2 linked regions of the Oryctolagus cuniculus genome follow. The protein of the gene in region 1 interacts with the protein of each later gene in a biochemical or structural test. Links are inferred from orthologs where the notes say so. Each region holds a gene or a part of one and is shown on either strand. Other genes may lie near its edges.

Region 1 (15,640 bases):
GCTTCAAATCCAGCTTCCTGCTAATGTATACCCTGGGAGACAGGTGACAGCTAAGTACTGGGCCATTGCCACCCACATGGGAGACATGGATTGAATTCCCAGCTCCTGGCTTTGGCCTGGCTAGTCTTGGTTATTGTGGGCATTTGAGGAGTGAACCAGTGGATGGGAGGATAATTTCTCATGATCTCTCTCTCTCTCCCTCTCTCTTTCTCCTCTCTCTGCCTTTCAAATAAATTTTAAAGGTGAAGAAAGAAAAAGTGTAAAGCTTCACAGACAGGACTGGTGCTGTGGCGCAGCAAGGTAAGCCACACCCTAGATAAGAGTGATGTTCAAGTCCCGGCTGCTGTGATCCGATCCAGCTCCCTGTTAATACATCTGGGAGGCAGCAGACTGCAGCTCCGGGACTTGAGTCTCTGCATCCCACATGGAGACCTGTGCAGCTCCTGGCTCTGGCTTCAGCCTGGCCCAGCCCTGGTTGTTGCAGCCTTGGGAGGAAGTGAACCAGTGAATGGACCATCTGCAAATCTGTCTCTGGCCTTCAAATAAAAAAAAAAGCAGTGGTGCCACGGCTCACTTGGCTAATCCTCAGCCTGAGGCACTGGCACCCCAGGTTCTAGTCCTGGTTGGGGTGCCGGATTCTGTCCCGGTTGCTCCTCTTCCAGTCCAGCTCTCTGCTGTGGCCTGGGAAAAGCAGTGGAGGATGGCCCAAGTGCTTGGGCCCTGCACCTGCATGAGAGACCAGGAGGAAGCACCTGGCTCTTAGCTTTGGATCGGCACAGTGCGCCAGCCCTAGCGGCCATTTGGGAGGTGAACCAACGGAAGGAAGACCTTTCTGCCTCTCTAACTTTGCTTACTTAAAAAAAAAAAAAAAAAAAAAAAGCTTTGCAGAGATTTATTTCTTCTTCAGGTTTAATTTGAAATTTTGAAATGGATGTGAGAGGTGAATTTCTGCTTTAGTTCTCCCAATGTTGATCAGGGGGTTTGCATTCTCTGACTGTTATCTCCAACCTAGGAATAAATTTTAGGGACAAAAATCAGCTATATCTTAGAATGATAAAATCCAAGAATAAGTCTCTTTGAAATAAACATAACAGGTACTATTAATTTATAGACTATATAAAAGCCTCCAAGTAATTACAATATAAATCATATTCTGTCTCATAATTACAATGTACATCAAGATGACCAATATCGTACTTTCTATAAATTTCAAGTTTTATTTAATTTACATACAGAAAAACAACTCTCAAATTACAATCTATCAGATCTTTTGGAGCCAGCGCTGTGGAGCAGCAAGTAAAGTCACTGTCTGCAGCACCAGCATCCCAGATGGGTACCAGTTCAAGTTCTATCTGCTCCACTTCTGATACAGCTCTCTGCTGATATGCCTGGAAAGGCAGCATAAGACGGCCCAAGTGCTTGGGCCTCTGCACACACGTGGGAGATCCGGAAAAAGCTCCTGCCTCCTGGCTTCAGATCAGCCCAGCCCTGGTCACTGCTGCCATCTGAGGAGTGAACCAGTGGATGGAAGATCTCTCTATGCTCTGTCTCTCCCTCTTCAGCTGTAACTCTTTCAAATAAATAAATCTTTAAAAAAAAAAAAAAAAAGGAGTATAGTTCAGTTTTCAAGGCTTCACTGGACACTAAGGAAGGCAGTGATATTCTTTAGCGTGGTGCCTGGACTTGCATAATCAACATCATCTGTTAACTTGGTAGAAATGCAAACTTGAGGTGGGACTGGTGTTGTCATACAGTGAGTAAAGGCCCTGCTTTGGATACCCACACTCTAAATCAGAGTGCCTCGTTCAGTCTTGACTACTCCATGCTTACAATCCAGCTTCCTGCTAATGCTCCTGGGAGGCAGCGGGTGATGCCCAAGTAGATAAGTTTTACAGAACTCAGAGAGCTTTTTCTACATTTACAGAAGTTCTAAAAAGCAGGAAGCAATCTGGTTCTCAGGTATATGCAGTAATTCAAAAAGTTCATTGAAAAATTGCCTGGGAAAAGCAGCAGAGATGGCTCAGTGTTCAGGCCCCTGCCACTCACACAGGAGACCTGGATGAAGCTCCTGGCTCCAGCCTGGCCCAAAGGCCATCTGGGAAGTGAAGAAAGATGGAAGATCAATTTCTCTCTAACTCTGAATTTCAAATAAATAAATAAATATTTTAAAATTTAACTAGAAAATATGTTTATGGGCCAGCACTGTGGTACAGCAGCTTAGGCTGTACCTATATGGGTCCCGGTTCGAGTCCCGGCTGCTCCACTTCTGATCCAGCTCTCTGCTATGGCCTGGGAAAGCAGTAGAAGATGGCTCGGCTGGCGCCACGGCTCAATAGGCTAATCCTCTACCTGCGACGCCAGCACACCAGGTTCTAGTCCCGGTCAGGGCGCCGGATTCTGTCCTGGTTGCCCCTCTTCCAGGCTAGCTCTCTGCTGTGGCCCGGGAGTGCAGTGGAGGATGGCCCAAGTACTTGGGCCCTGCACCCGCATGGGAGACCAGAAGCACCTGGCTCCTGGCTTTGGATCAGCGTGGTGCGCCGGCCACGGCGGCCACTGGAGGGTGAACCAATGGCAAAGGAAGACCTTTCTCTCTGTCTCTGTGCACTCTGCCTGTCAAAAAAAAGAAGAAGAAGAAGAAGAAGATGGCTCAAGTCCTTGGACCCCTGCACCCATGTGGGAGGCTCAGAAGAAGCTCCGAGCCGGCGCCGCGGCTCACTAGGCTAATCCTCCACCTTGCGGCGCCGGCACACCAGGTTCTAGTCCCGGTCGGGGCGCCGGATTCTGTCCCGGTTGCCCCTCTTCCAGGCCAGCTCTCTGCTGTGGCCTGGGAGGGAGTGCAGTGGAAGATGGCCCAGGTCCTTGGGCCCTGCACCCCATGGGAGACCAGGAGAAGTACCTGGCTCCTGCCATCGGATCGGCACGGTGCGCTGGTTGCAGCGTGCCAGCTGCAGCGGCCATTGGAGGGTGAACCAACGGCAAAGGAAGACCTTTCTCTCTGTCTCTCTCTCTCACTGTCCACTCTGCCTGTCAAAAAAAAAAAAAAAAGAAGAAGAAGAAAAAGCTCCGAACATTGTGGCCAATTGGGGAGTGAAACAGTGGATGAAAAGACCTCTCTCCCTCTCTGCCTCTCCTTCTATGTAATTCTTTCAAATAAATATTAAATAAATCTTTTTTTAAAATGTTTATTTTGTGCAAAACAATTGACGTCCACACATACAAGGCACACTCTTTCTATAAAATGTATTTTTCAATAACTTTTTGAAGATCTCTCTTATATCCTCCAGAGCACCTAAAACTGTCATATTCATAACAGGCACTCTAATTTGCTTAACAGGTGAATTCAGTCTCACCTAAACAAACAGTTGACTAGGCTACAATACCATCAGTTTATCTGTTTCACAAAGTTAGGAAAACTTGATGATTATTTGGATTAACTACTCAGTATATGATACACACACACTAGAGGCTGTTAAATAACTCAGTCCTAGAGCCTTTAGTACTTTGGCAAAAACCCAGGATTATAGACTTGTATGCTTTAAAAGTAAAAAATGTATTTTTTTTTTTTTTTTTTTGACAGGCAGAGTGGACAGTGAGAGAGAGAGACAGAGAGAAAGGTCTTCCTTTGCCGTTGGTTCACCCTCCAATGGCCGCCGCGGCCAGCGCGCTGCGGCCGGCGCACCGCGCTGATCCGATGGCAGGAGCCAGGAGCCAGGTGCTTTTCCTGGTCTCCCATGGGGTGCAGGGCCCAAGCACCTGGGCCATCCTCCACTGCACTCCCTGGCCACAGCAGAGGGCTGGCCTGGAAGAGGGGCAACCGGGACAGAATCCGGCGCCCCGACCGGGACTAGAACCCGGTGTGCCGGCGCCGCTAGGCGGAGGATTAGCCTAGTGAGCCGCGGCGCCGGCCGTAAAAAATGTATTTCTATAAGTAGGTACTCAACCTAGCAGTTAAGACACTAGCATCCCATATCAGACTATCCGAGCTCAATTCCCACCTTAAGCTCCTACCTCCAGCTTCCCACCAGTGCGTGCTGATGACTCAAGTCAGCGAATTGGATTGGGTTCCTGGTTTCCAGCTCTGGCCTGGCCCAGGCCCAGCCTTTGTGGGAATTTGGGGAGTAAAGCCCCAGGAGTTCTCTCTTTCCCCCAGATAATTTTTTTCAATGTTTCTAATTTTGCCAGAATAGAAACAGGATTTGTTTGTGGCTCTATTCAAGTCAACTATAGAACATATTAAAAAAAAAAGTTTCTTGTTGCTCTATAAAAGAATTTTATTTTAGGGGCCAATGTCATGGCATAGGACTTTCCAGGCTCCTGACTTCAGCCTGGACCAGCCCCAGCTGTTGCAGCCATTTGGGGAGTGAACCAGAAAATCAAAGACTAACTCACTCACTCACTCTCTCTCTCTCCCCCCCTAACTCTGCCTTTCAAATAAATTCTTTTAAAAAAAAAAAAATGTTATTTTATGCATTAGTCACCTGTAATGTGTAGATTTAAGTTGGAATCTAATCTGAAAACAGATTAAAATTTAGACAACTGAGGAAATTTGGACACTGTGTATCTGATATTAAGAAAACATGATAGGAGCCGGCTCTGTGGCATAGTGGGCTGAGCCTCCGCCTGCGGCGCCAGAATTCGTATGGGTGCCAGTTAGTGTCCCGGCTGTTACTCTTCCGACCCAGCTCTCTGCTATGTCCTGAAAAAGTAGTAGAAGATGCCCCAAGTGTTTGGGCCCCTGCAACCACGTGGGACACCCAGAAAAAGCTCCTGGCTCCTGACTTTCGATCGGCTCAGCTCTGGCTGTTGAAGCCACCTGCGGAGTGAACCAGAGGATGGAAAACTTTTCTCTCTCTGCCTCTGCCTCTCTCTATAACTCTACCTCTCAAATAAATCTCCAAAAAAAAAAAAGGAAAGAAAAATGTAATAAAGATATTAATTACATGTTCTTTAAAAGGAGGCTCATTTCTTCTAAAAGCTTTTGAGATGAAATGATATGATGTATTGAATTTGATTCCTGAGGGAATGAGACTGACCAATGAGATGCTGAGAATGGGGGGCTCGCTGCATACCAAGGTTTCCCAATTCCAGCCCTATTGACATTTGGGAATAGATACTTCTCAGTGACGGGGGAAGTTGTCTTATGTATTGCAAAACGTGAGCGGCATGACTAGTGACCAGTAACTCCCACTTCCTCTAGTTGTGACAACTAAAAATGTTTCTAGACATTGTCAAATGTCCCTGGAGGACAAAATCATCAATAAATTCCATTCTACCTATTTGAAATTTTCCATAACAAGCCTTTTCAAAAATATTTTAAATATTTATTTGAAAGGGAAAACAGAGAGTGAGAGAGAGACCTTCATCTGTAGGTTCACTCCCCAATACATGCAACAGCAAGGGCTAGGACAGGCTGAAGCCTAGAACTCCAAACAGGTCTCTCAAATGGGTGGCAGGGATGGTTGGCGCCGCAGCTCACTAGGCTAATCCTCCGCCTGCAGTACCAGCACCCCGGGTTCTAGTCCTGGTTGGGGCGCCGGATTCTGTCCCAGTTGCTACTCTTCCAGTCCAGCTCTCTGCTGTGGCTCAGGAGTGCAGCGGAGAATGGCCCAGGACCTTGGGCCCTGCACCCGCATGGGAGACCAGGAGGAAGCACCTGGCTCCTGGCTTCGGATTGGCGCAACGCGCCCAGCCGCAATGCGCCAGCTGTAGTGACCACTTGCGGGGTGAACCTACGGAAATAGGAAGACCTTTCTCTCACTGTCTAACTCTGCCTGTCAAAAAAAAAAAAAAAAAAAGGGGGTGGCAGGGATTCAAGTACTTGGACCATGATCTGCTGCCCCAAAATGCACATTAGCAGGGAGATGGATCAGAAGCAGAGCAGCCAGCAATGTGATAAAAACGAACTCTTATGGGTGGTGCCGCGGCAGGCAGAGGATTAGCCAAGTGAGCTGCGGTGCCGGCACCCCGGGTTCTAGTCCCGGTTGGGGCGCCGATTCTGTCCCAGTTGCTCCTCTTCCAGTCCAGCTCTCTGCTGTGGCCCAGGAAGGCAGTGGAGGATGGCCCAAGTGCTTGGGCCCTGCACCCACATGGGAGACCAGGAGGAAGCACCTGGCTCCTGGCTTCAGATTGGCATAGCGCACCAGCCACAGCAGCCATTTGGGGGTGAACCAACAGAAAAAAAGAAGACCTTTCTCTCTGTCTCTCTCTAATTTTGCCTATCTCTAACTTTTACCTATCCACTAACAGTGAATCTTAACATTTGAAAAATCAAGTGAAAAATAGTGTACAAGCTACCTTTTACTATTCTTAACCTAATAAGCAACATTCTTGTCATAATTACATACATTAAAAATTTAAACACGATTTTCCTAAAATAAGCAAAATCTAAGGTCTTTTGACATAACAGAAGAACAAAGCTGTTTTAGTAATCATAGCCAAAATGTCCCTCAACTGGTGAATGGATACCAAAGTTGGCTACATCTAAACAATGAAATACTACTTAGCAATAAAAGGGAATGAACTATATACACAAGAAAACACAAATAAATCCAAAAAGTATTAAGTGCATGAAATCAGACACAAGATTGTATTCTCTGAGACTCTGTTTACAAACATTCTAGAAAAGGAAAAAACTATAGAGGCAGAAAAACAGATCAGTAGTTGCTGGAGCTGGGGTAAGGGAGAGAAGATCCACTGCCAAGGGCCACAAGCGACCTTTCTGAAGTTGCAAATGTTCTAGATCTTGATTATGATGGTGGTTACACGAATATACATTTGTCAAACTCATCAAGCTACACACAAGAAGTATAAACCTGACTTCAACAAAAGAGCTTCTCAACACAGAGCTCCCACTCTTGTATACTCATCACTTGAGGAGCAAGAAGTCTAATGCTTAGCAGCACGAGAACATTAAGTAAATAACACGGCATACGGTCAATCAGAATCTGAGGCCGAACACTGACACAAAGGTACTCCACCGCCAGAACATGCCAACACGGAAGTTAAAAATGGACTCCAGTGCAGCATTTGGCATGCCAGTTCAGATGCCCTCATCCCAAACCCTAGTCGCTGGGTTCCAATCTCAGCTCCTCTCCCATTTCCAGCTTCCTGCTAATGCGCATCCTGGGAGACAGCAGGTGATGGCTCAAGCACTTGGGTCCTTAACACCTATGTGGGAGACTTGGATTGAGTTCCTAGCTACTGGCTTCAGCCTGGCCCAGCGTAGCCCTGAACCAGCAGATGGGAAATCTGCCTGTCTCCCTGACTTAAATATGTATTAGTGAATAAATTCTAAAAAGTAAGTATTAAAACAAAACACATGACAGTATGGTGGATTAATGAATGATGAGCTATAAACCTTTGATTTTAACAATGCTAAAAATTCTATTTTAAGTACATTACACGAGAATAAAGAAAAGGCCTGGGACTGGCACTGTGGCACAGCTAGTTAAGCCGCCATCTGCAGCGCAGTGATCCCATATGGGTGCTGGTTCTAGTCCCGGCCACCCCCTTTGGCTCTAACTCCCTATTGATGTGCCTGGGAGAGCAGCAGAAGATGGGCTAAGACTTGGACCCCTGCCACCCACACAGCAGAACCAGATCCTAGCCCTTGGCTTCAGCCTGGCCCAGGCCTGGCCACTGGGGCCATTTGGGGAGTGAACCAGTGGAGGAAAGATCTCTCTCTGCTCCCCCTCTGTCTGTACATCTGACTTGTAAATAAAAGAAGAAGAAACGTCCTCCACATCCCCAGGAGCTTTTTAAAAAGTTAGTAATTAATTTTCTTTTTAAAGATTATTTATTTACTTGAGAGGCAGAGTTACAGACAGAGGGAGAGTGAGAAAGGTCCTCTATCCACTTGTTCTCTACCCAAATGGCCACAATGACCGGAGCTGGGCAGAAGACAGGAGCCTCCCCTAGATCGCCCACATAGGTGCAGGGGCCCAAGCACTTGGGTCATCTTTCCACAACTTTCCCAGACCATCAGCAGAGAGCTGAACTGGAAGAGGAGCAGCTGGAACACAAACCAGTGCCCATATGGGATTCAGGCACCGCAAGGAGAAGGTTTAATCCACTATGCCACGGCACCAGCCCCAACAGTTAGTAATTTCTAACACAAAAAAAATCTACAAAATAGTTCAACAAATTACTCAAATAACAACTGAAGAACGAGCCAAGTCATTCACCAACATCACAAATATTCACCACCTAAATCATGCATTCATGAGTAAAAATGGCCTATTTCTTCCCTATTAAAATATGTATTAAAAGACGACCTATTTGAAAGCCTTCATTATCACAAATCTGCTGTTTGGCTGCAGTTTACAAAGTGTGAAGCTCTTGCTCTGGTTCAAGGTAAGGTTTTGCTTCTGAGTGAAGATCCATAATCAAAGCTGATCGCCTCACTTTTGTTCCTTGCTCCTTCCTTCAGGGTAGTAAAGAGTGGGAAGTGGTCAGGTCTGGGTCAGAAACGGTTTTCTTCAAAAGCACTATAAGAGAAGGAGCTCACTGACTCGCAGAGTCTAAGGTTTCCTACCACTCACTTTCTACGTAGTTCTCTAGCCCATCTCAGGTGGCGGACGCCTACCGCTCTCCTATGTGTGTAATGCTGGGGCGCAGGGATGCTCGAGACGGAGGCTTACGTAAACAGGTGAAAATACCAGCCAGCCGGCCGGCAAACAACTAAAGTGAAGGCACTTGATATGTCTGGGCCACAACGTCTCGGGACGTTACCGAAGGGATGAAAACACGCAGAGCAAGAAAAGTTCTCCTAAGAGCTGGCATTTTCTGGCCAGCAATCACCTGCTAACACGCACCCTGAAAGGCCCCCGAAGTTGCTTTGCCAGTTACTGGCTCTCGCGGTTGCGGCGCAGGGGCAGACCCGCGCAGGGCGCAGCCCAGCAGCGCGGCCCCCACCCCCGGCCTTTTACAAAAGGGGCACAAGCAGCAAAGCCAAGGTTCCTCCAGGAGGTGCGGGCCGCTCGTCTCAGCGCACCTCCTCCGCGGGGGGCGGAAAGCGGTGTCCCCGGCCACTGCGGCCTCGCGGGGACGCAGCCCGCGCCGGGCAAAGGCTGCGCGCTCTGCACACCTCTCCGGGGTCGAGGCGGGACCCCGAGTTCCGGCGACTGTCAGCCACTAACGCCCGGTTCCGCCCGCAGAAAGGACGGTGCACGTGACCCCTCCGAGCGCCCTGAATCAGCACCAGCGGACAGAGCCGCCCGCCCAACTGGAGAGGAGAGCCCACCCGGCCGGGCGAGCGCCCGGACCTCGCTGGGGCCGGCACGGCCGGGAGGACACGCCCGCCGCCGACAGGCCCCGGCTACTCACGTTTTCAGTGTCTCGTTCATTCACCGTGGGCAGCGGAGTCCGAGTGGACATTTTACTGCGCTCGGGTTCGCACAGGGCGCGGGCGAGAACAAAACGGCACAGCCCAGGAAGCCGGCGCGCGGCCCCTCCCCCCGCGGCCGCCTAGATCCCGGGCCTGGCCCGGGCCGTGCCCCGGCGGCTCCCGGGGCTCATCCTCCCCTGCCCGGGCGGCCGCGGCGAGGAGCCCGGCGGCGGCGGCGGCCCCGCGCCTCAGCGCACGCCGCGGGCCCGGGCCGCCTGGCCTCCTCCGCCTCCGCTCGCGCCCGTTGCGCCCCGGGTTTCAGCTCCGGGGCCTCCACACAGCGCCGCCGGCAGCCCCTGAGGAGGAGGCGGAAGAGGATGTGGAGAAGGTGGAACGCAAGACAGGCCGCCGCGGGCTGCGGGCGCCGACCATGGAGGGGGCTGCGGCGGAGGCGCCTGCGCCCGGCTGCTTTCCTCTCTCCCGCTCGCTTTTCGCCTCAGCCTCCGCCCTGCTGGCCGCCGCCGCCGCCGCTCCCGGCACCTCAGAGCCTCACGGACCCAAGATGGCCGCCACTCGGCTTCCTCTGCTGTCTCCGGCTGCCGGAAGTGACGCCGCCGCCGCCTCCCGGAGGCCGGCCAATCAGAGCGGCGGGAGCGGCCCGGGCGGGCTGCTGTTGCTAGGGGCGACTCGGCCCGACAGGTAGGGCGCGAGGTGGGCGGCGCCGGGTCTCCGCTGGCTCCGGGGGCGCCGGGTTCCCACAGTCGGGCATCCCTGCGCGGCGGCGTTGGCGCTTACGGACTACAGATCTGGCTTTCTTGGATTACAGATCGGGCGCCTACTGTGTGCAAACACCGAGCTCGCCTCCCGGGGACAACGCTACGTGGGGTGGGTGGATCCGCAGGGTCGGGGCTGCAGGTGGGCGCGCGGCTCCAGCACGAGCCGCTGCGACCCGGGCGTCGGGCGTGCACACACCCAACTTGCTTGCGGGTCTGCCTGCCTGGCCATCAGGAGGGTCTGACTTGGACCCAGCCAAATGCCACCTGGAAGGGGGAGTGCGACTAGGGGGGCAGGCAGGGGAGGGGATCGGTCCCCTAGGGACCAGTTCTTAATGCCTCTAGGGGGTCTCTAACCAGGACCAGCTGCAGGTGTGGCTCAGTAGCCCCCTGCGGCAGGAACACTGGAAATGCCGCCTCCCCTGGGCCTTGGGTGCCCTTGCGACCAGGCTGGGTCACATAAACCGTTCTCGAGAGGCTGGGGGGGGGGGGGACATTGCACCAGCTACCTCATTTAAGCCTCAGGGCAGATGCACCATGTCACCCGGGGACAGGTTGGTTACCAAAGGAGCCTCGATTTGAACCCTGTTCCTAAAACTCTGGTAATAACAGATAAGCGAAATGTAGGGTGGGTGTGGATTGCTTGTTTCTTCCGATTTTGGAGGGGGTGGGGGAGGCCATCTTGCCAGCATTTTCTGCTCCGTGAAACATATACTTTTTTTTTTTAAGATTTATTTATTTTTTTGAAAGAAAGAGATAGAGAGAGGCAGAGAGAGAGGCTTCCATCTGCTGGTCCACTCCCCAGATGGCCGCAACGGCTGGAGCTGCTCTAATCCAAAGCCAGGAGCCAGGAGCTTGCTCCAGGTCTCCCACACGGGTGCAGGGGCCCAAGGACTTGGACTGTCTGCTGCTGCTTTCCCAGGCCATAGCAGGGAAGTGGATCAGCTGGGACTCGAACCAGCACCTATATGGGATGCTGGCACTGCAGGCAGTGGCTTTACCCGGTATGCCACAGTGCCATCCCCAGAACATATATATCTTTAAACACCGTAATCACTCCCAGAGAAGCCAGATGCTCCCAGTATACAAACACCTGCGGACTAGGATACTGCCAGGGCTCCCATGTCACCCTTCCAGGACAATGCTAGAGGGGTCCAGGGTATCCCTATATGGAATGTTGTCACCGTTCTTTCTTTGGCCAAGGGGAGATGTGGAATTCCCAAGAATTAAATGTGTGCCTGACACGGTTCAACCAAAATGTGGGTTATATGATAAGATTGGGGTGAGCACAAGTGTTGTTAGCCCAACTTGGGGGTTGAGTCAGAGAAGGCTTCCAGGAGAAGAGAACGTTTACGCTGAGCCTAAAAGCAGCGGCAGAGTTAGCCAGGTAAGGAGGGTGCAAAGGACAGTCCAGGCAGAAGGCCGATCCAGCCAGGGCTGCAGAGGTTGGAGAGGTGAGACTGGAAGAGCAGGGCCTAGACTCAGCACAGCACCTGGCTCTGTGTCTGCTCCCAACGACGGCAGGAAAACACCCCGAGAAGTTCAGCCTCGGGCCGGAGCTGAGAGACAGCGTGGGGTGATTCACAGCATTCGCCGTTGACCGGGGAGGGGGGGCGGGGATGAGGGTGCCACCCAGTTGCTTTTCTCACTGAGAAATGAGTCAGTGAACGCCCGGAGTCAGAAAACGAAGATGACAGCACCCAACTCATGATGTTGGTTTTGCTGAAGGCTAGAATTAAAGAAGCACCTGGAACTCTTCGTGGCACTGATGTCAGATGACGTCATGACACCATAAGGGTCTTGATGTGGGAGGCAAGGTGGGTGTGTTACATGAAGAACAGAAAGAGGTGGGGGAGGGAGGCAAAGCATTGTTCTGTCCAAAGAACGCTCGGAGACCCTCAGCTGTGTGCATCTGCAGTCAGGAAAACACACACACACACACACACACAGAGAAGGGCGAGATCTGGAAGTTGTCTTTGGAATGTGTTCTTCCATCCCATTTCATGTTCTTTGTTTCCTGTCTTCATAGTCAGACAGTTCCCATCTTCAGCTCCTGAAACGTGAAAGATACAACTAAATATACCAAGCTGTGTGCGTGCGTTGGCAGCACAGTTTTCCCTCAGCACCTGCAGGGCACCAGTTCTCTTACCCGAATCCTTAGCTGCTCAAGTCCCTCAAAGAAGACAGTGTGAAGTTGGCAAACAACTCACACACGTCCTCCAGTGTACGTGAAATCATCACCCAGTTACCTATACAATGTGAATGTGATTTAAATAGTGGCTACGCTATGTTGTTCCGGGAATAGTGACTAGAAAGTCTGAGGACTTCCAGTGCAGACGCAACTTTGAAAAGACATGTTTTTAAATTTATTTATCCAAGAGGCAGAGAGAGAGAGAGCAAGAGAGAGAGCCGCACTCCAGATGCTACAATGGCCAGGACTGGGCCAAGCTGAAGCTGGGAGCCAGGTCTCCCATGCAGGCGGCAGGAGCCCAGGTACTTGAGCCATCATCCCTGCTTCCAGCATCTGCCCCCATAGGGAGCTGGCGTCGGTATCAAGCCCAGATACTGTGCAATGCAGCTGGCAGGCGTCTTCGCTGCTAAGCCAAACGCCCACCCCGTGATTGTGTTTATTTATTTACTATTTTTCACAAACGGTCATTTGGGTCCGTGGTTGCAAAGCCCACAGGTAGGGAGGGCCCACTGTGGTTATCTTCATGGCAAGCAGGAGGCCACTGAGACACATCGGAAGCTGGCAATGATGTTGATGATGACAGTGGCCACCTCAAGGCCCCTGGGATGGCCACCATCAGAAACCCAGAAAATAGGGAGAGGTCAGCCTAGTGGTTAAGACGCTTGCCTGGGTTGGATTCCTGGGTCCAGCTGCTGATTCCAGCTTCCACTAGTGTAGACACTAGGAAGTAGCAGTAGTGGCCCAAGTGCTTGTGGCCCTGCCACCCACATAGGAGACCTGGATTGAGGTTCAGGCTCCTGGCTTTGACCTGGCCCAGTCCTGGTAATTGTAGCCATTTGGAGAGTAAACCAGCAGATAGAAGATCTCTCTCTCTCTCTCTCTCTCTCTCTGCCTTTCAAATAAACATTGGGGCCAGTGCTGTGGCACAGCAGGTAAAGCTGCCACCTGCAGTGCTGGCATCTCATATGGACACTGGTTCGAGGCCCGGCTGCTGCTCTTCTGCTCCAGCTCTCTGCTATTGCCTGGGAAAGCAGTAGAAGATGGCCCAAGTCCTTGGGTCCCTGCACCTACGTGGGAGACCCAGAAGGAGCTACTGGCTCCTGGCTTCAGATCGGCACTGCTCTGACCATTCCAGCCAATTGGGGAGTAGACCAGCAGATGGAAGACCGACCTCTCTGTCTCTCTCTGTGTAACTCTGACTTTCAAAAAAAAGGCTTAATAAATAAATATATAAATTGTTTTACAGAAAAAAAATATGGAGAAATTTTTTTTTTGACAGGCAGAGTTAGACAGTGAGAGAGAGAGACAGAGAGAAAGGTCTTCCTTTTTCCATTGGTTCACCCCACAAGTGGCTGCTACAGCTGAAGCATTGTGGCCGGCGCACTGCGCTGATCCAAAGCCAGGAGCCAGGTGCTTCCTCCTGGTCTCCCATGTGGGTGCAGGGCCCAAGGACCTGGGCCATCCTCCACTGCACTCCCAGGCCACAGCAGAGAGCTGGACTGGAAGAGGAGCAACCAGGACAGAATCTGGTGCCCCAACTGGGACTAGAACCCGGGGTGCCGGCACCACAGGTGGAGTGAGATTAGCCAAGTGAGCTGCGGCGCCAGCTGAGAAATTATAATTTTTGTGCAGTGTTGGTGGAAATGTAAAATGGTGCAACTGTTGTGGAAAGCTGTGGTGATTTTGGAAAAAATGAGAATTACCATGGCCGGCGCTGCGGCTCATTAGGCTAATCCTCCGCCTTGCGGCACCAGCATACCGGATTCTAGTCCCGGTCGGGGCTCCGGATTCTTTCCCGGTTGCCCCTCTTCCAGGACAGCTCTCTGCTGTGGCCCAGGAGTGCAGTGGAGGATGGCCCAAGTACTTGGGCCCTATATCCCATGGGAGACCAGGATAAGTACCTGGCTCCTGCCATCGGATCAGCGCGGTGCGCCGGCCGCAGCACGCCAGCCGCAGCGGCCATTGGAGGGTGAACCAATGGCAAAAGGAAGACCTTTCTCTCTGTCTCTCTCTCTCACTGTCCACTCTGCCTGTCAAAAAAAAAAAAAAAAAAAACATATGACCCAATGATTCCAATTCTGGGTAGATACCCAAAAGAAAGAAAGCAGGATCTTACAGAAATATTTGTTCATCAACATTCATGGCAGCACTATTTAGAGTAGCTGAAACGTGGAAGCAAACCATGTGCCCATCGTTGAGTGAATGGAGGAGCAAAGTGTGGTAAGCCCATACAGTGGGATACTGTCCAGCCTTTAAAAGGACCATGGGTGGCCTTGAGGACATTATGTCAAGGGAACTACATGAGACACAGAAGTGCAAATACTGTGTGGCCCTAGCTCTGTGAGTTACCTGGAGTTGTAAGACAGAGACTGCAGTGGGATAGCGGTTAACAGGGGCCGGGGGGAGAAAGTTCTGGAGCTGGGTGGTGAAGATGGGGCAGACGCGCGCGAATGTGCTTCACAGTGGTTGAGATGGTTCAGCTTTATGGTAGGTACACTTCACCGCCATCTTTATCACGAGATGAAGAGGGGGCAGGTTGAGCTGTTGCTCGGTTGCCTGTGCCTAATTAGAGTTGCAGGTCCACCACTTGCAATCCAGCCTCCTGCCAATGCGTCCTGGTCCACCACTTGCAATCCAGCCTCCTGCCAATGCTTCCTGGTCCACCACTTGCAATCCAGCCTCCTGCCAATGCGTCCTGGGAGGCGCCGACGGTGGCTCAAGTGCTTAGGCCCCTGCCAGCCACGTGGGAGACCCAGATGAAGTTCATGGCCCCTGGCTTAGGCCTGATCTGGTCCTGGCTGTTGCAACCGTTTGGGGAGTGAACTACAGGAGGGAAGATGTCTCTCTCTGTGAGTCTGTTTCTCTCTCTCTCTCTGCCTTTCAAGCAGATGAAAGTGGATAAATAAACATGAAAAAGAGTAAGGAGACAAAGTGACTAATTCACGCAGCTCGTTAGCAGCAGGGCGAGGATGGGGACCCCAGTCTCCAAGCCCCAACCCCGGGCCTTCTTCCCCGCCAGCCGGTGTCGCCACATGATCCCACGCGGATCCGCTCCAGCTCCCAGCCCAGCACCAGAGGAGGAGGGGGCGTCCCTGCTGGGGTTCCTGAGGGCCTGTGCTGGCCGTGAGCCTGCCTGTGGCAGAGAAAGAAGCCCCCGCTGTGGAAGTCGGTACAGCCGGGTTGTGTGTCTCCCAGCGCGGCGTGTCCCGAGTGTTGTGTTACTCAGCGAGCACCCAGGGCCTGGGGCAGGGGAAGGACGCGGGCTGGAGCGCCAAGGCCTGGAGGCGGGGGAAACACGAAGTCTGTTCCAGACTCTCCTCAGCATGCGGGGTCAGGGCTGGCCTGTTGCTT
Region 2 (14,913 bases), on another chromosome or scaffold:
GGTGCTGGGGGGGGGGGTGGGCTGGCGGGGGGAGGGGAGGGGATAAAGCTGTCCTGGGCCAGCGAAGGATCATGGGACAGCTCCCCCCTCCCCAGATGATTAAACTGGAACTCTGCAGGCCTTCTTGTCAAGAGGGTGTGAGCCTGACCTCATTGTCTCAAGCCCAAGCCCCAGGGTAGGTGGGGCAGCCGGGCAAGGCGGGGGCAGGGCTGTGCGCTGGCAGCCACAAGAGGAAGCAGCAGCCTGGGAAACGCTGGGCCAGGCTGGCCTGGTCCCAGACGCTCTGGGAAACCACAGGAGCATTGAGGCAGAAGAGGGCACGGTGCCAGCTTGGTTTCCCTCGGGAGCCCCAAGTTAATCCTGTGGCCGGCCCGTGAGGCTCAGGGCATGTACCCTTATGATGGGACTGGGAGGAAGATGCCACCACCCCATTTGCATATGGGGAAACTGAGGCTCAGAGCAGCTGCTGTCTACAGCTCACAGGGGGATAGGTGGAGTTCCTGACTGCAAAAATCCCTTTAGTGGCCCCTGGAGGACCACGGCTGACACCCCAGGGGTGGCTGACTGTTGCTTTCTCCCAGCTGTCCCTGAGAGCCCTGACTCAGAATACAGGTGCCCCGGCCCTGACAGGGCTTCAAACACAAACCTTGGGTACCTCCTGGGCGTCAGTGCTGCCCCCAGGTGTGAGCTCAGACATGCTTCTCACTGCTGGGGAGCCCAGGCCAGCCTGGCTCACAGCAGACGGCAGCTCACGCACCCTGGGGGCAGGGGAGGCCTGTACGAGTCCCCGGGGGCCCTTACATCAGCCCCGAACAGGGGCAGCTGGAGCATGGGCTTCCCAAGCCCGAGGCAGAGAGAGATGCCCTCCAGCCCACGGCTGCCATCCAATATCAGCCTCGCGAGCGTCGAGGCCAAGACCGCGGGACAGTCCCCATCACCAACCCCGTCAGCCCTCCCCAGCGGGTCTGAGCGGCGGAGTCAGGAAGTCGTTGGAAATCCCGATCACCAGGCGAGGAGCTCAGGGAGGTGCATCTCCAACAAGCTCCACAAGGGGCTCTGGCACGTGGCCAGCGTCACACTGGACACAGAGCAGCTCCTGGCTCCTCCTCCCTGTGACCGTGACCCTATTGGTGGGGTGAGGAAGGGATGCAGGCAGGGGCTGGAGAGGCCCCAGCAAGACCACGGGGCCGCGGGTGACGAGGCAAGGGCTCTACGTGGGTGCAGGACTGTGTCACACACAGACGGGCAGGGAGCCCCAAGAGACAGTAGCCAGGGCGGATTCCCCAGCCCTGCTCTGCACCCCCTCCTGACCCAGGCGGCTCGGCCTACCTGTGCGTCACAGAGAGTCCGATGTCCCTTCGTACCATCTGTGGGGATCCGTGTGGGAGATCTGCAGGGAAAGGGGCCAAGCCCGGCAGTCAGGGGGACCCCCGCCTGGTTGCAGGCTGGGTGGGGGCACAGGGTTTAACACATAGGGGAGAGACATCCTGGAACCCATGTCTATCAAAACAGGGTCAGAGCAAGCACAGTGGCCCTGTTCTTGCCTCGCTTCTCTGAGGCCCGTTACTGCCCAGCCTCTGCGGTTGGCCCAGTCTGCTGAGCCTGGGCGGTTTCCAGCTCAGGTGCAGGCAGGCAAGCTCAAGAAGGGGCCAGGCACAGCCAAGGTGAAGGCCAAAGCCCTCCACGTCCCAGTCTCTCGCACTCCCTCATGGACGAGGCCACAGGCCACAGGTCTGCAAGGGCTTTGCTCAGGTTACTTCCTGTTGAGCGGGTCGGAGTTGTCGGCCTCTGGGGACAGGTACAAGGCCAGCGAGCTCTGCAGCTCAGCGCGGCCCCGTGCAGCCTGCAGGACGCTCCTCAGAGCCACCAGTGCCAGATCCCGTGGGTGGAGCGAGCGCAGGTGCAGCTGTCCCACACTCCCCCCGGGTCAGCCCTGCCTGTGGCTGTCTCTGGGGCTACCTGGGGCACCCCTTCCTCTGCTGAGAGAAGGGCTACCAGCTTCCCTTCTGCCTGCCTCCCTGAGGGCGGCCTGGGCGCTTGTTCTGCTTCCAGATTCCCCATGAGGAGAGGCACCCTGTTTTCCACATAGCAGGTCTGGGAGATGCAGGAGCAGCAAGAACCAATCTCTCTGCCCGCTGGTGGCCTGCATGCTCAACTCACGTGGCCCTGTCTCCTTCTGGAGCCCCTGGCTGGGCGCCAGGGGTCTGTAAACCCCCTGGACCAGTCAGCAGGATGCTGTGGGCTTTTCCCTGCCAATTAAGACCTTCATGCAGTGATCAAAGGACCCAGAACACGCAGGAGGACAGTGCCCCGGCCATCTGTGGCCAGCTCACGCCCTCTGAGTCAGCAGCCCCTGATAGGCAGCCACTGCCCCTCGTTGGCCAACTGCTGGCCCTGCACACAGCTGGTGCTCACTCAGAAAGTGCTGGTTCTCTGAAAGCCAAGAACACAGACCCATCCACCAGAGAAGCCCATGCCGGAGGCACTGGCACCTCCCACACCAAGGGCATTCTGATGACAAAAGGCCCAGCGCTGCCCTGCTGCTGATCGGCAGCTCTGGTACATCTGGGGTACGTCCCAGCTCCTGCCCGGGGCCTAGCCTACCCTGCAGGAGCCACAGCCAGCAAAACACACAGGTTATCTGGCAGCCACAGAGAAGACGAGGCTCCAGCCATGCAGCTCTGCATGCAGGCTGCGACTTGTAACATCTGCCCCTGGCACAGGACAGGAGAGTGGGGTGGCACACGAGCCGGGGCATCCACTCTCTCTGAGCTAGATGGAAATATTGGCCCTAAGGGTCAACAGCTGCACTGTCCCCATTCCTGGGTCACCACAGGGTCTGGAAGATGACAGATCCTCGGCTGTGCAAGGGACAGAGCTGCTAGATTTTCCTCCAAGGCTCTGTCAAGAGCCCTGGGAACCACGGATGTCTCCCTTCCTTACCCCCGTACCGGCTCCACCATGCCAAAGCACAGCTGCTGCCTCCGCCATTGCCAAGAGCCCACCCCAGATACACCCCCACTCAGCCAAGAAACGGCGTCTTGCCCAGGCAGCAGACAGACACTTCTGGACTTCCGCTTGGACAACTGGAAGCGAGTCCACAGGCACAACAGCTTCGCTCTGCTTTGGCTCCTGGGGGAAAGGCTGCACCGCATAGCCGTATGTAAGAACTTGGGGAGGGCTGCTAGAGCTTCCTCCTCCTGCCCTAAGGGGGAGCGGCACCCTCTGGGCTCTTAAGGCCTCCTGCAGAGCTGCCCCTGAGAAGGTCCTTGTCCTAAATAAGGGGTCTGGAGACACGGGCTGGGGTCCGAGCTGGCTGTGGCCCACCTATGCTGGCAGATGGTGGTGACCTCTCTTCACCGCGGCAGCCCAGTGGGCAGAGCACCTGCCACAGGGGTCCAGGTGGAAACGGGCTTGGCACAGGCTTGCCCCCAGATCAGGGTACTGTCCAGGTCTCTGCTGCCCAGAGAGGAGCCGCTCGTGGGGAGGTGGACGGCTGCCTCTCTCCCTGGGCGGCTGTCACCAGCACCTCTGCTCCTGGGCCATGCATGCAGAGGCCCAGTGGGCTAGGAGAGGGTCAGAAGAATTCACTCCCGACGGGGACGGCGACACGAACGCCACTCCCGGCGACAGAGGGGACCAAAATGAAATCTCTCTTACCAAACCTGGAGGAGACAAAAAGGAGAGAGAGGGATTATGTTGGCGTGCTGCGTCAGCGTGTTCTAGAACATTCTTCCTGGGAGACAACAGGCAAGGGGCTGGGATGTGGGACTCTGAGGCCTGGCTTGGGGCCAGGCTGCCAAGCGACTGTGGGAACCTCCGCCCGCCCTGTGGGGAGGGACACTGTCTCCACGCAGAGAGCCACAAGGGCCCTGGCTGAGCTTTCCCAGGGGACATGGACATCATACCCTGTGCTGTGCACTTTAATGCACTAGCTTACGCAAGCCCAGCCAGCCAGCATGGTTGCGAGTTTACCCCATTTCACAGCTGAGGAAACGGGCGTGGGACCCACTGGTGGGGCGAACCCAGGATCCAGACAGGAGGAGGGGGCCGTCTGCTGGAGAGGACACAGCTGGGCCAGGAGGGCAGAGAGAACAGCTGTGCGGAGTACAAGGGTGGCCCCACGGGGAGGGTCAGGCAGGGACATGCCCTCAGCGACATCCCGCCTGGGGCTGCACAGTCCCCTGGGGCCCTGGGGGATCAGCCAGGGCAGCAAGGTGGCCTGCGTGTCCCTGTCTGGTGTCACCTGCCCACGGGCCTGTTCTCTGCCTGGAAGGTGGGAGTAAGGCTGCCTGTGCTCTTCTCAGGAGAAGAAGATACAAAGGCATGGGGTGGCCCACGAGGCGTCTCTGACCAGCCCAGACTGTGGTCCACAGCCCCTTCCGGCTGGACCGGGAGTAGCAGGGTGGGTATCCCTGGGTAGCAAGCTCATCACAGCTGCCCAAGTCTCTCCTGGAGTGCGCCCAAGAGCCCGCACCAGGACAGAGGAAATAAGCCCCTGCCACCCAAGGCAGACCTGACCTTGGGAGCCCCCAGAAAAAGGGGTGCTTGTGTCAAGTACCCCAACCCTCAGGGGTACCCACAGGGAAGAACACCCAAAGGAAACACTGTCCTTTCACGTGCTCCCAAACGGTAAACCGACAGAGGTGATCTTTGTAAAAACAACAGTGGCTTAAACGTCCATCACGGGGCCGGCACTGTGGTGCAGCGGGTAAAGCTGCTACCTGTGGTGCCAGAGTCCCATATGGGTGCCAGTTGGAGCCCTGGCTGCTCCACTTCTGATCCAGCTCCCTGTTAATGTGCCTGGGAAAGCAGAAGAGGGTGGCCCAAGTGCTTGGAGCCCTGTACCCATGTGGGAGACCTGGAAGAAGCTCCTGGCTCCTGTTTTCAGATCAGCCTGGCACTGGCCATAGTGGCTTTTTGGGGAGTGAACTAGCAGATGGAAGACCTCTCTGAGTGTCTCTCTCCCTCTGTGATTCTGCCTTTCAAGTCTCACTTGGCGTGTCTGAGTTCAACTCCCAGCCCTGGCTCCCAACTCCAGCTTCCTGCTAATGCAGATCCCACGAGGCAGTAGTGATGGCTCAAGTGACTGGGTTCCTGCCACTCACATGGAAGACCTGGGTTGCATTTCAGGCTTCTGGTTCTGGCCTAGGCCCACCCCAGCGGTCGTGGGCATTTAGGGAGTGAATCAGCAGATGTGAACTCTCCCTCTCCTCCCTCTCTCTGCTTCTCAAATAAATAAGAATAATTAAAATTTTAAAAATAAGGGTTAAGTCACCACTTGCAGTGCCAGCATCCCATATGGGCACTGGCTCGAGTCCCAGCTGCTCTGCTATGGCCTGGGAAAGCAGCGTAAGATAGCCCAGGTGATTGGGCCCCTGCACCCACGTGGGAGGCCCAGAAGAAGCTCCTGGCTTCAGATTGAGCCCTTGGCAGCCATTTGGGGAATGAACCAGCAGATGGAAGACCTCTCTCTGTCCCTCCTCTCTCTCTGGGTAACTCTGCCTTTCAAATAAATAAATACATCTTAAAAAAAAAAAAAAAAAAAAAAAAGAAAGAAAGATGTACTGAGCTGGGAGCTGCCTGGTGTGATGCTGTCACACACGTCAAGGTGAGCACAAGTCACAGGACAGCGTGCACCATACGTGACAGTCATTTGTGGTTTCAGCCAAATATGCCAGCTCTCCCCCTCTGGGTGCACAGGAGGACGGCCCTTGCCAATTCCCTGCCTTGGGTGGGGCCCCGACCAGGGAGTGGAAGGAGGACAGCTGTCCCGCAGAGTCTGTGGGGGCGGGGCCCGGGCCCCCGGCAGAGGCTCCAGTGCCTCAGGCGCAGTGTTCGCTGAGAACCTGTGCACACCGCTTCCGCACACTTGGAATCATCCCGGGTTTCCGGATAGCGCTAACGCAATGCAAAGGCCGTGTAAACAGCTGTTACGCACTACTGCTCGGAATAACGACACAAACCCGTCATCATGTCAGTGCATCACGAGCCTGACTACAGAGGCCACGCGTGACATTGGCAGTGACACAGGACATTGGCAGCGATGCGACAGTTTTTCCCTGAACTTTTCAATCCTGGTGAGTTGACAGCAGGTGTGGAGCTGGCATTCAACCAACAGTGTCCAGGACCTGAATGCCCCATTCCCTCCGCCACAGGGGCCAAGCACATGCCAGAAAGTGGCTCTTTGGCCAGCCTGGGACCTGAGAGAGTCTGACCCACCTGGACAGTGAGAAACAAGTCTTCCTTGTTCTAAGCCCCAGAGCTGTGGGTGCGCTCATTCACGTGGCCTCACCCAGCCTACCCTTTGTGTGTGTGCAGACAGGAACCAGCAGGATTCAGCTCAGCCAGCTAAGGCCGTCAGGGCCTAGTGTGAATGGGGAGTGCCTGTGGCTCCCACACTGCACAGTTCTGTATGGCTGACTTCCTTGTCTTTTGTGCACACTTTCTTTTTTTTTTTTTTTTTTTGACAGGCAGAGTGGACAGTGAGAGAGAGACAGAAAGGTCTTCCTTTTCCATTGGTTCACCCCACAATGGCCGCTGTAGCCAGCGCGCTGCGGCTGGCATACCACGCTGATCTGAAGCCAGGAGCCAGGTGCTTCTCCTGGTCTCCCATGGGGTGCGGGGCCCAAGCACTTGGGCCATCCTCCACTGCACTCCCGGGCCACAGCACAGAGCTGGACTGGAAAAGGAGCAACCGGGACAGAATCCGGCGCCCGGACTGGGACTAGAACCCGGTGTGCTGGTGCCACAGGTGGAGGATTAGCCTATTGAGCTGTGGCACCGGCATTGTACACACTTTCATGATGAGAATGGCAGGCAAAACTCCTGGTGCGGGGCCAGCACTGTGGCACAGTGGGTTAAGCCGCTGCCTGCGATGCCAGCATCCAGTGGAACTGGATGCCAGCATTCCAGTCCTGGCTGCTCCACTTCCTATTCAGCTCCCAGCTAATGCACCTGGGAAGGTAGGTAGATGGACCAAGCACCTGGGTCCCTGCCACCCAAGTGGGGACCTGGATGGAGTTCCTGGCTCATCCCTGGGTGTTGTGGTCATCTGGGGAGTGAACTAGCAGATGGAACACTCTCTCTCTCTCTGTAACTGTGCCCTTCAAATACATAGCATAAATCTTTTTATTTATTTATTTTTTGACAGGCAGAGTGGACAGTGAGAGAGACAGAGAGAAAGGTCTTCCTTTTCTGTTGGTTCACCCCACAAAGGCCACTGTGGCCAGCGCACTGCGCTGATCCGAAGCCAGGAGCCAGGTGCTTCTCCTGGTCTCCCACGCGGGTGCAGGGCCCAAGCTCTTGGGCCATCCTCCACTGCCTTCCCGGGCCACAGCAGAGAGCTGGACTGGAAGAGGAGACTAGACTGGACTAGAACTGGACTAGAACCCAGGGTGCTGGCGCTGCAGGCGGAGGATTAGCCTATTGAGCCGCGGCGCTGGCCCATTGCATAAATTTTATAAAACCTCGTGGTGGCTGCGGCGGGAGCACTCACCGCATGGGGGTGACGTCGTCGATGCGGTTCCCGAGCTGCGACTCGTGGGACTTGCTCCGGGTGAGCGTGGGGAAGCTGGGCAGCAGCTGGAAGACCTTGCGGCTGGGTGGCGGGGGCGTCCGTGGCGGCTTCAGCTTGGCATGCCGGCGCAGCTGGGGCGTGGCGGGTGGCGTGATGAAGCTGTGCAGGGCGCGGGGGGTGAGCCGGCCGCTGGCGTGCAGCGGGAGGCAGGTGTCCGAGAGGCCCTCGCTCAGGCCAGGGGCTGCGGAGTCCGAGGCGGGCAGGGCTGACACGGAGACGGAGCGTGGGCCCTGGGTGCTGCTGCCCCCTCTGCCCAGCTGGGAGCTGCCTGGTGTCCAGGGCAGGCTGGCTGGAGGGAGGGTATCCGTGGAAGGCCCAGAGCCACTTTCCCGCCGAGCATCCACTGAACTCCAGCCCGAGTCCTCTTTGTGCTCTCCTCCTGTGGGTCAAGAAGCTGAGTCGCAGATGGTTGGGGCTGGAACAGGTGAAGGGACTTAGGGTCCAGAGAGGTTAACTGCCTTGTCCAAGGTTGCACAGAGCATCTGTGGAAAGCTTCAGACACCAGCCTGTCCCCGGTTTGTAAGAGCATCTCTCGCGCACATGCAGCATTCACACTCTTGCTGACGGTGAGGCCCCCAGGGCGGGTGCTACTCTGAAATGGGCTTCACAGAGCGGGGAAGGAGGCCCAGGGAGGGAATGGCTTGTGCTGGGCTCCTGCGGGCAGGACTGGGGGTGCAGGCTGGGAAGCCCACCCGAAAGCTGATGACCCCTTTACGGGTTAGGAAAGGGAAGTTGGGTGTGTGAAGGGAAAAGCCTGGGGCAAGAAAATCCAAACAGCAGGAAAGAGGGCTGCCCTGGGCTGCGGAACAAAGATCCAGCCAGAGAGGCTGCAAAGCCATTTTCTTCTGAGAGGTGCCCGTGAGGGGCTTCTGGTTGCCCCCACTGGGAGCTGAGCCCCAGGAGAACCCGAGGTTCCGTGGGGCTCTGTGTCGACGGTGCAATCCGTCCACTGCTCCGTGTGCAGGCTGGGTGCTGGGTGCAAATGCACAAGGCAGACAGACCTGTCTGCTGTGCCCACAGAGGCCCATGGGAGCTCTCAGTGTGTGGAGCACTGGGACAGGGAGACGCGTCTGCTGAGACAGTGGCCTGGGGAGGCTGGGGTCAGGGCTGAGGCAGCTGGGGGTGGGGAGGGGGAAGGGTGTCCCGGGCAGAGGGAGCAGCGTACGCACAGGGAACAGCACGCGGCACCTTCCATCACTACAGAGTGTTCCGTGTGCTTTGCGAGGTCAGGGCAAGGCGGGGACAAGGCTGGAGGGCTCAGGGCGGCACGGCCAGCTCAGGGAGGCTGGTCTGTCTGCTAAGGACTCCGGGTTTGTTCCTGTAGGTCAGGGGAGGGCAACCTTTACTCAGCCACAGGCTGTCTGGGTATTTACATCGGCATTCACGGGCCATATAGAACCATAAACTTAATAGCCAGCCTGCGGTAGACGTGCTGAAGTCCAAGTCCTGCCTGCGGTTGCCTTGGCGGGGCCACGGCGGTGGGGGCGGGCGGTACTAATGGGCGAGCTGCGACAGCAGGAAGGAGAAGACACCCACTCCCTCTCTCAGAATTATCCACACGTAGAGCGAGGAAGGTCAAGGCTGACCCAAAGTGACCTCTGCCCTGGAGGCCTTTACCACGTCCTGCAGAAGCCCTGCCTCCCACAGCCCCCGTGACAGGGGAGGTCACCCACACCACCAAGGTCGGTCAGCAAAGGCAACAGTGGGATGGGAGGTGAACCCCTCAGCCCTGACCACAGCGCTATGCCTCCTCCCATGATGCCATGCGTTCTGAGGAACCCACACTGGGTCAGCTCTGGGTCAGAGGTCAGAGGTGATGAAGCCCCGCCTCCACAGCCTCCCCAAGTCATGAGCTTGGTTTGTACTTTCCCCCAGGTTCATGGCACAGGGAGGCAGGACGGGTCGTCCTGCCTCTGATTTACACTTGAGCTTCTCTACTGGCCTGGGGGAGGCACTGAACACAGGTTTCTTGCTAAGTGGATGAAGAACAGATTCCATGAATCTCTGAGCAAGTCTGCCACCCAGGGAAAGAAGCCCCACATTCTTCAAACAGCCTATTTAATCACTGTTGCTCTGGGCCAGCTCAGGGATGGCAAACAGGTCTTGGTGCACAGGCCAGTGCCAGTCAGTTGGCAGTAGCCACGCTGGAGTCACTCAGTATAAGCATTCACGGATTGATTAGTGATGTCTGCTGTGGGTGAAGGATAGGGAGTATCAGCGGGAATGGTCGTCCCTATGCACCAGCACAAAGAACCATCGCTCACTCACCCTCTAGGACCAGAGACCATAGTGCAAATGGCACCAACATAATCCATCACCCCACAGGCCTAATGTGGGAAAGGGCACCTAAGCTATGGCATGCTCTGGTCTAAACACTTCGCTTCAACCCTGTGCATCTTCACAGCAACCTCATGGGAGAAGTCCACAGAGAGGTTAAGTAACTGGCCGAGGCCCCACGGGTTCCGAGTGGCCTCGGCAGTCTGCTGCCACGGCCCGCCTTCACGGAGCTCAGGCTGCCATCACTGCACCCTGTCTAGGTGCCGTGAAGATGCACCAACAGTGGACCCTAAAGATAGGCATTGCCGGTACCCACCCAGTCCCTAGCAGGTGTCCAGGAAGAATGGCCATGGCTAGGGCAGTCGAAAGGCCTGCACCCTGGCCTGGGATATGGCCAGGACTCTCTTGGGGAGGCAGGGGCCCCAGGAGCTGGCACTGAATGAGGCGGGACCTGGGAAAGGCCCCTCTCCCCAGGCCCTCTGAGGAGGCAACCTGAGTTCAGAGCCCAGCTCTGCCCTGCGCCGGATGTGGGAGCCCAGACCCCTCCGCCAGTGCGCCCCTTGCTCTGCTGCTTCATGCCTCCTCTGTGAAGGGTGTGGCTCCAGCGTGTCATGTGCCAGGCACACGGCAGGTGTTTCCCAACTAAGTGCCCCCTCCCCATCTCGGCATCCGTGGGAGGCAGACGGCGGCCTTCATGACACCGGCAGGTCAGTACCACACGACAGCTGGCTCCTTGAAAACCCCTGCATAAGGGGGATGGGGGTGGGGTCTGAGAGGCGACCCTAGGGGCCTCAGCTCCAGTGACAAATCCTCCTGCCCTCTGCTGCCAGCGGAGCCCGAAGCACAAACCCTGGCTCTGCTACTGACCGCCGTGTGTCCCAAGCCCCTCCCCAGGGCTTCCTCTGTATGGGTGGAGACGAGGATTCTGACCACACCTCTGCCATGTTACACCCAGCACCATACCTCTGCCATGTTACACCCAGCATCTGCAGGGAGGCCCGGCGGGTCACGATTCTCTGAACCTGCACTGAGTTCTGGGTTCAGATGACTCGGGAGGAAGCTAAGCCTCATCTTCCTGGACGGCAGGAACTAAGCAGCACATACACCTCGGTGCTTTCCTGAAGCCCCAGGCAGCCGGGGCTCAGACAAGAGGCTCAGATAATTAAAAACAGGCTAATTCAATTCACGAGGCTCATTTCAATGCGTATCTGCCCGGGGCCTGCAGTGGGAGCATCGGGCAGGCATGCGAAGCTGTTTCCAAGGCAAGATCTAGAAAGCCTGCAAAGAATTCCCCAGCTCCTCGTCCTGCAGCCAGGATTCCATGCCTTGCTGTGCACGCACTCTAAGCATCTCGGCTCAGGCTAAGCCCACATCCACGGTGTCTCTGAGCACAGAGTGCAGCCGGCCGACAAGGGCCGGGGGCTGGAATGCAGGAAGCTGGCGGAGTGTGCACAAAACCCCGCACAGATGCACTCCCCGGAGGGAAGTCACACAGGGCCCTCCCAGTCTGCCGATTTCTAACAATGGCTCAAGTCTTCCCAGGTCCAGACCGGCCAGACCCACTGCGATCCAGAGCCCCAGGACCCTGGGGGGCCTCCCTTTTGGGTCATCAAACACATTCTGAAGGTTCACCCTGGCCTTTCCCAGCTACCCCAGAAACCTGGGGCTGTGGTTGCCCCATCCCAACCCCCACCTAGGCAGGGGCCCGAGCCCCCAGGGGAGCAGGCTGGCCCTGGAGAGAGATGTCCCCTTCATCCCCCCACCCCGTGGAGGCAGGGGACAGGAGGCCAGCAGGCCCCACTTACCCAGGCCCGTGACCTTCCGCAGGCAGGCGAGGGCGTGCTGCAGGCGGCCGCACTCCTCGGGGCTGGCTCCACAGCGCCGCAGCGTCTCCTTCACCTTGGCCTCGTTCATCTCCAGCAGGGCGTCCAGCGTGAGTTCGTGGGGGATCTCCTGTGTGGCACAGAAGGGACAGGAGAGGCCGGTGAGCAGGCAGGCAGGCAGGCCTGGGCGGTGGCCTCAGCCTTCGCCTGGCCTGGGCCAGGGCAGCCTCTTGGCTGAGTGGCAGGGGCCAGCTGCTGGCCGGGCCGGCTCTGCTTGTCTAAGGACACAGGCAGAGAGCTGCCGCCCCCACCCTCCGCAGGCCCAGGACAGCAGCTGACGTGAGCCGAAGGGGCAGGGGGAAGCCAGGAGGGTTTCAACAGGGCGCCCTGCCTCTCCTCTTTTTATTTCTCCACACTGAAAAAGGCGGGTCATGGGGACTTTGTCGAATGACAAGCACTTCCCACAGAGATGGCCCTTGGGAACTCTGTTGTATCTGTGTCAGGAGATGCCAACAAGGGGAGGACAGAAACAGAATAAGCAACCCCCCCCCCCCACCGGCACTGCTCTCAGGTGAGCCTCCACGGAGGAGGCTCAAAGAGGCCATGGCACCTGTACAAGGTCACGCAGGGGCCAGAACTTTCAGGTGCCCAGGTAGGATTAACCCAACCACACGAGCCTGTAAAAGCAGAGGGTCTCCTCTGGGGTGGAGGGAAAGCGTGCGAGCGATGCCATGCCAGCTTTGAAGACACCGCAAGGGCCACAGGAGGAGGCACGTCCATGGCCTCAGCTGACAGGCGGCGAGGAAGCGGGGACCCCAGACCGACAGCTGTGTTGGGGCTCAGAGGACGACACCTCCCCGAAAGGTGGCATTGGGGGGCACATTTGATCCAAAGGAAATTAAAAGTTCCCCAAAGCCGGTTCAGAGTCAAGGTCCCTGTAACCTCGCCTCACCGCTCTCCTCCCAAGTGCAGGAAGAAGTCTCTCTGGGCACGGAGGGACCTGGCCACTCCCCCCCCCACCCCGGGTGATCTCGTTGTCTGTCTCAGGAGAGAGGACAGAAACCAGGCCAAGACCGGCAGGCTCGTCACAGCGTCACAGCGTCAGCTCCCTGGGCTCATTCAAACTCCCAAGGGAACCTTGCCTCAAGCTAACTGCTACCTCTGGGGCCACTGCTTGCCCCCAGTCACTGTTCACAGCCCCCCTACAACTGCTGACCCCCATGCCCCCTCCAGCCCCCAGCCCACAGAGTACATAAGTGGCTGAGTGGTTTGCAGTGGGCTGGTAGTGATGAGATGTGATGGGCTCACGCCCGCAGAAGATCTGTGTATCTCCCGGCTTAGCCAACTCCGCCACCCTTTCCCTTCTCCCCCCAGCTATCCAGACCGCGTCCCATCCACAACCTGGGTGAACATGGAAGTGGCCTCATGAGAGGCAGGGCGGGAAAGCTGGAGGAGCCAGCCTGGAGCCTCCCCGGGGGCTGCAGCTGTGCACGGTGAGCTGTGGCATGCGTGTGCAGTGTCACGGGCCACCACGCTTGTCATGCAGCACCAGAAAAACAATCCCAAGAACAAATGTTTGGCTCAAGGCCCGGCTGACTTGGGTGCTCTCCCCTCACGTCTGGAGGGTGCGCCAAGCCTGACACAGACACAGAGGACAGCAGGACACGGCTCTGGCCTCAGGAGCCTTGCAGCCGGGGCTGGGGTGACACCAAAAGGAGTCCTTGCAATGCGTCCTGACCTGGGCTCAAAGACCTGGGGCATCAGGTCTTCTTTTCCCCTTTTTCTACGCACATTTCCTGGATTCTCCAGGAAGCAAAGGCTGGATGAAATAACCCCTAGCACGTGCATGGTTCTTGAGACTCAAAAGCAATTTTGGGTGAATTTTGGTTAAGTCTGGTGTCATTTGACTTGGAAACGGTAACTCACTGTCAGTCCATTCACAAGGCTGTAAACCTGCACCCGAGCTAGGAGGGCAATGGTGTGGGGGCGGCCACACCCCCTCTTCCCACCAACAGGGCCCCCGGTGGCTGTCTGCATCCTGTGACTGCGGCCTTCGATGTCCCGGCTCGGGCAGGAATCTCACCAGTGTCTAGAATGATCCGCACCAGTATAAGAACCAGACACGTGAAAGTACCAGGAAGTACGCTGCCTGCACACAGCCTCGGCTGTCAGAGATCCTTCTGGATGACAAAGCGAGGACAGGGAGGCTGCTGTGAGGGGCACAGCCCAGACGGCGGCTGGCTACAGAAGGGACACCCCCCACCCCGCCACTCCTTTATGGCCTCAGCAACTCTTCTTCATAGAAAGCCAGTTTCTGGGACCAGGGTCGTGGCGCTGTGGGTTAAGCTGCCGCCTGCAACGCTGGCATCCCGTATGAGCGCTGGTTCGAATCCTGGCTGCTCTGCTTCTGATCCAGCTCTCTCCTAATGTTCCTGGGAAAGCAGCAAGAAGATGGCCCAGATGCTTGGGCCCCTGCACTCCCAAGGGAGACCTAGATGGAGTATGAGGCTCCTGGGTTTGGCCTGGCCCAGCCCCGGCTGTTGCGGCCATTTAGGGAGTAAACCAGCAGATGGAAAATCTCTCTCTCTGTCTCTGCCTGTCAAATAGATGGGTAAATAAATCTTAAACAAACAACACACGTGGGGTCAGCGCTGCAGGGTGGTGAGCGAGGCCATCACCTGCGATGCTGGCATTCCATACTGTGTCCTGGCTGCTCCACTTCCAATCCTGCCCCCCCGCTAATGGCCTGGGAAAGCAGCCAAAGATGGTCCAGGTGCTTGGCCCCTGCCTCCCACATGGGAGACCTGAGTGAAGCTCCTGGCTTTGATCTGGCCCACTGTGGCCATTTGGGGAGTGAACCAGCAGCCAGAGGGTCTCTGTCTCTCCCTCTCTCTCTGTAACTCCAATTTACAGATAAATGAATAATTTTTTTAAAAGGCAGTTTTGATGCCATTTTATGTAAAAGACAACTTGGTCAAAGAGTCAGGGCAAGAACCAAAGCGACCTTCAACTCTCACTGCACAAAGCAGCCCTCCATCTCCCTCTGGGTGGGGGACCCACACACATAGACATGTGCACATAGGTAGACAGAGACACACAGGTAGACACATGCACACAGAAGACATGCGCACATGGGTAAACATGCATACATGGGTAGACACGCTCATGGTAGACATGTGTACACAGGTAGACACGCCCAATGTAGACATGTGTGCGTGAGTAGACATGTGCACA

What was found.
Region 2: of the proteins of MARK3 (region 1) and KSR1, one has a biochemical effect on the other in vitro, tested with the Homo sapiens proteins (2 studies listed by BioGRID). The link is inferred for Oryctolagus cuniculus from reciprocal best matches to the Homo sapiens genes MARK3 and KSR1.

What each region holds. Positions count from the first base shown.
Region 1 is NC_091451.1:46,237,655-46,253,294, reverse strand, and holds the start of MARK3 (MAP/microtubule affinity-regulating kinase 3), read right to left. Parts: upstream 9,908-15,640; 5' UTR 9,376-9,907; coding exon 9,325-9,375; intron 1-9,324. UniProt on the Homo sapiens protein: Serine/threonine-protein kinase. Involved in the specific phosphorylation of microtubule-associated proteins for MAP2 and MAP4. Phosphorylates the microtubule-associated protein MAPT/TAU. Phosphorylates CDC25C on 'Ser-216'.
Region 2 is NC_091448.1:43,310,789-43,325,701, reverse strand, and holds part of KSR1 (kinase suppressor of Ras 1), read right to left. Parts: intron 11,810-14,913; coding exon 11,662-11,809; intron 7,959-11,661; coding exon 7,499-7,958; intron 3,666-7,498; coding exon 3,661-3,665; intron 3,560-3,660; exon of another isoform or gene 1,391-3,559; coding exon 1,330-1,390; intron 1-1,329.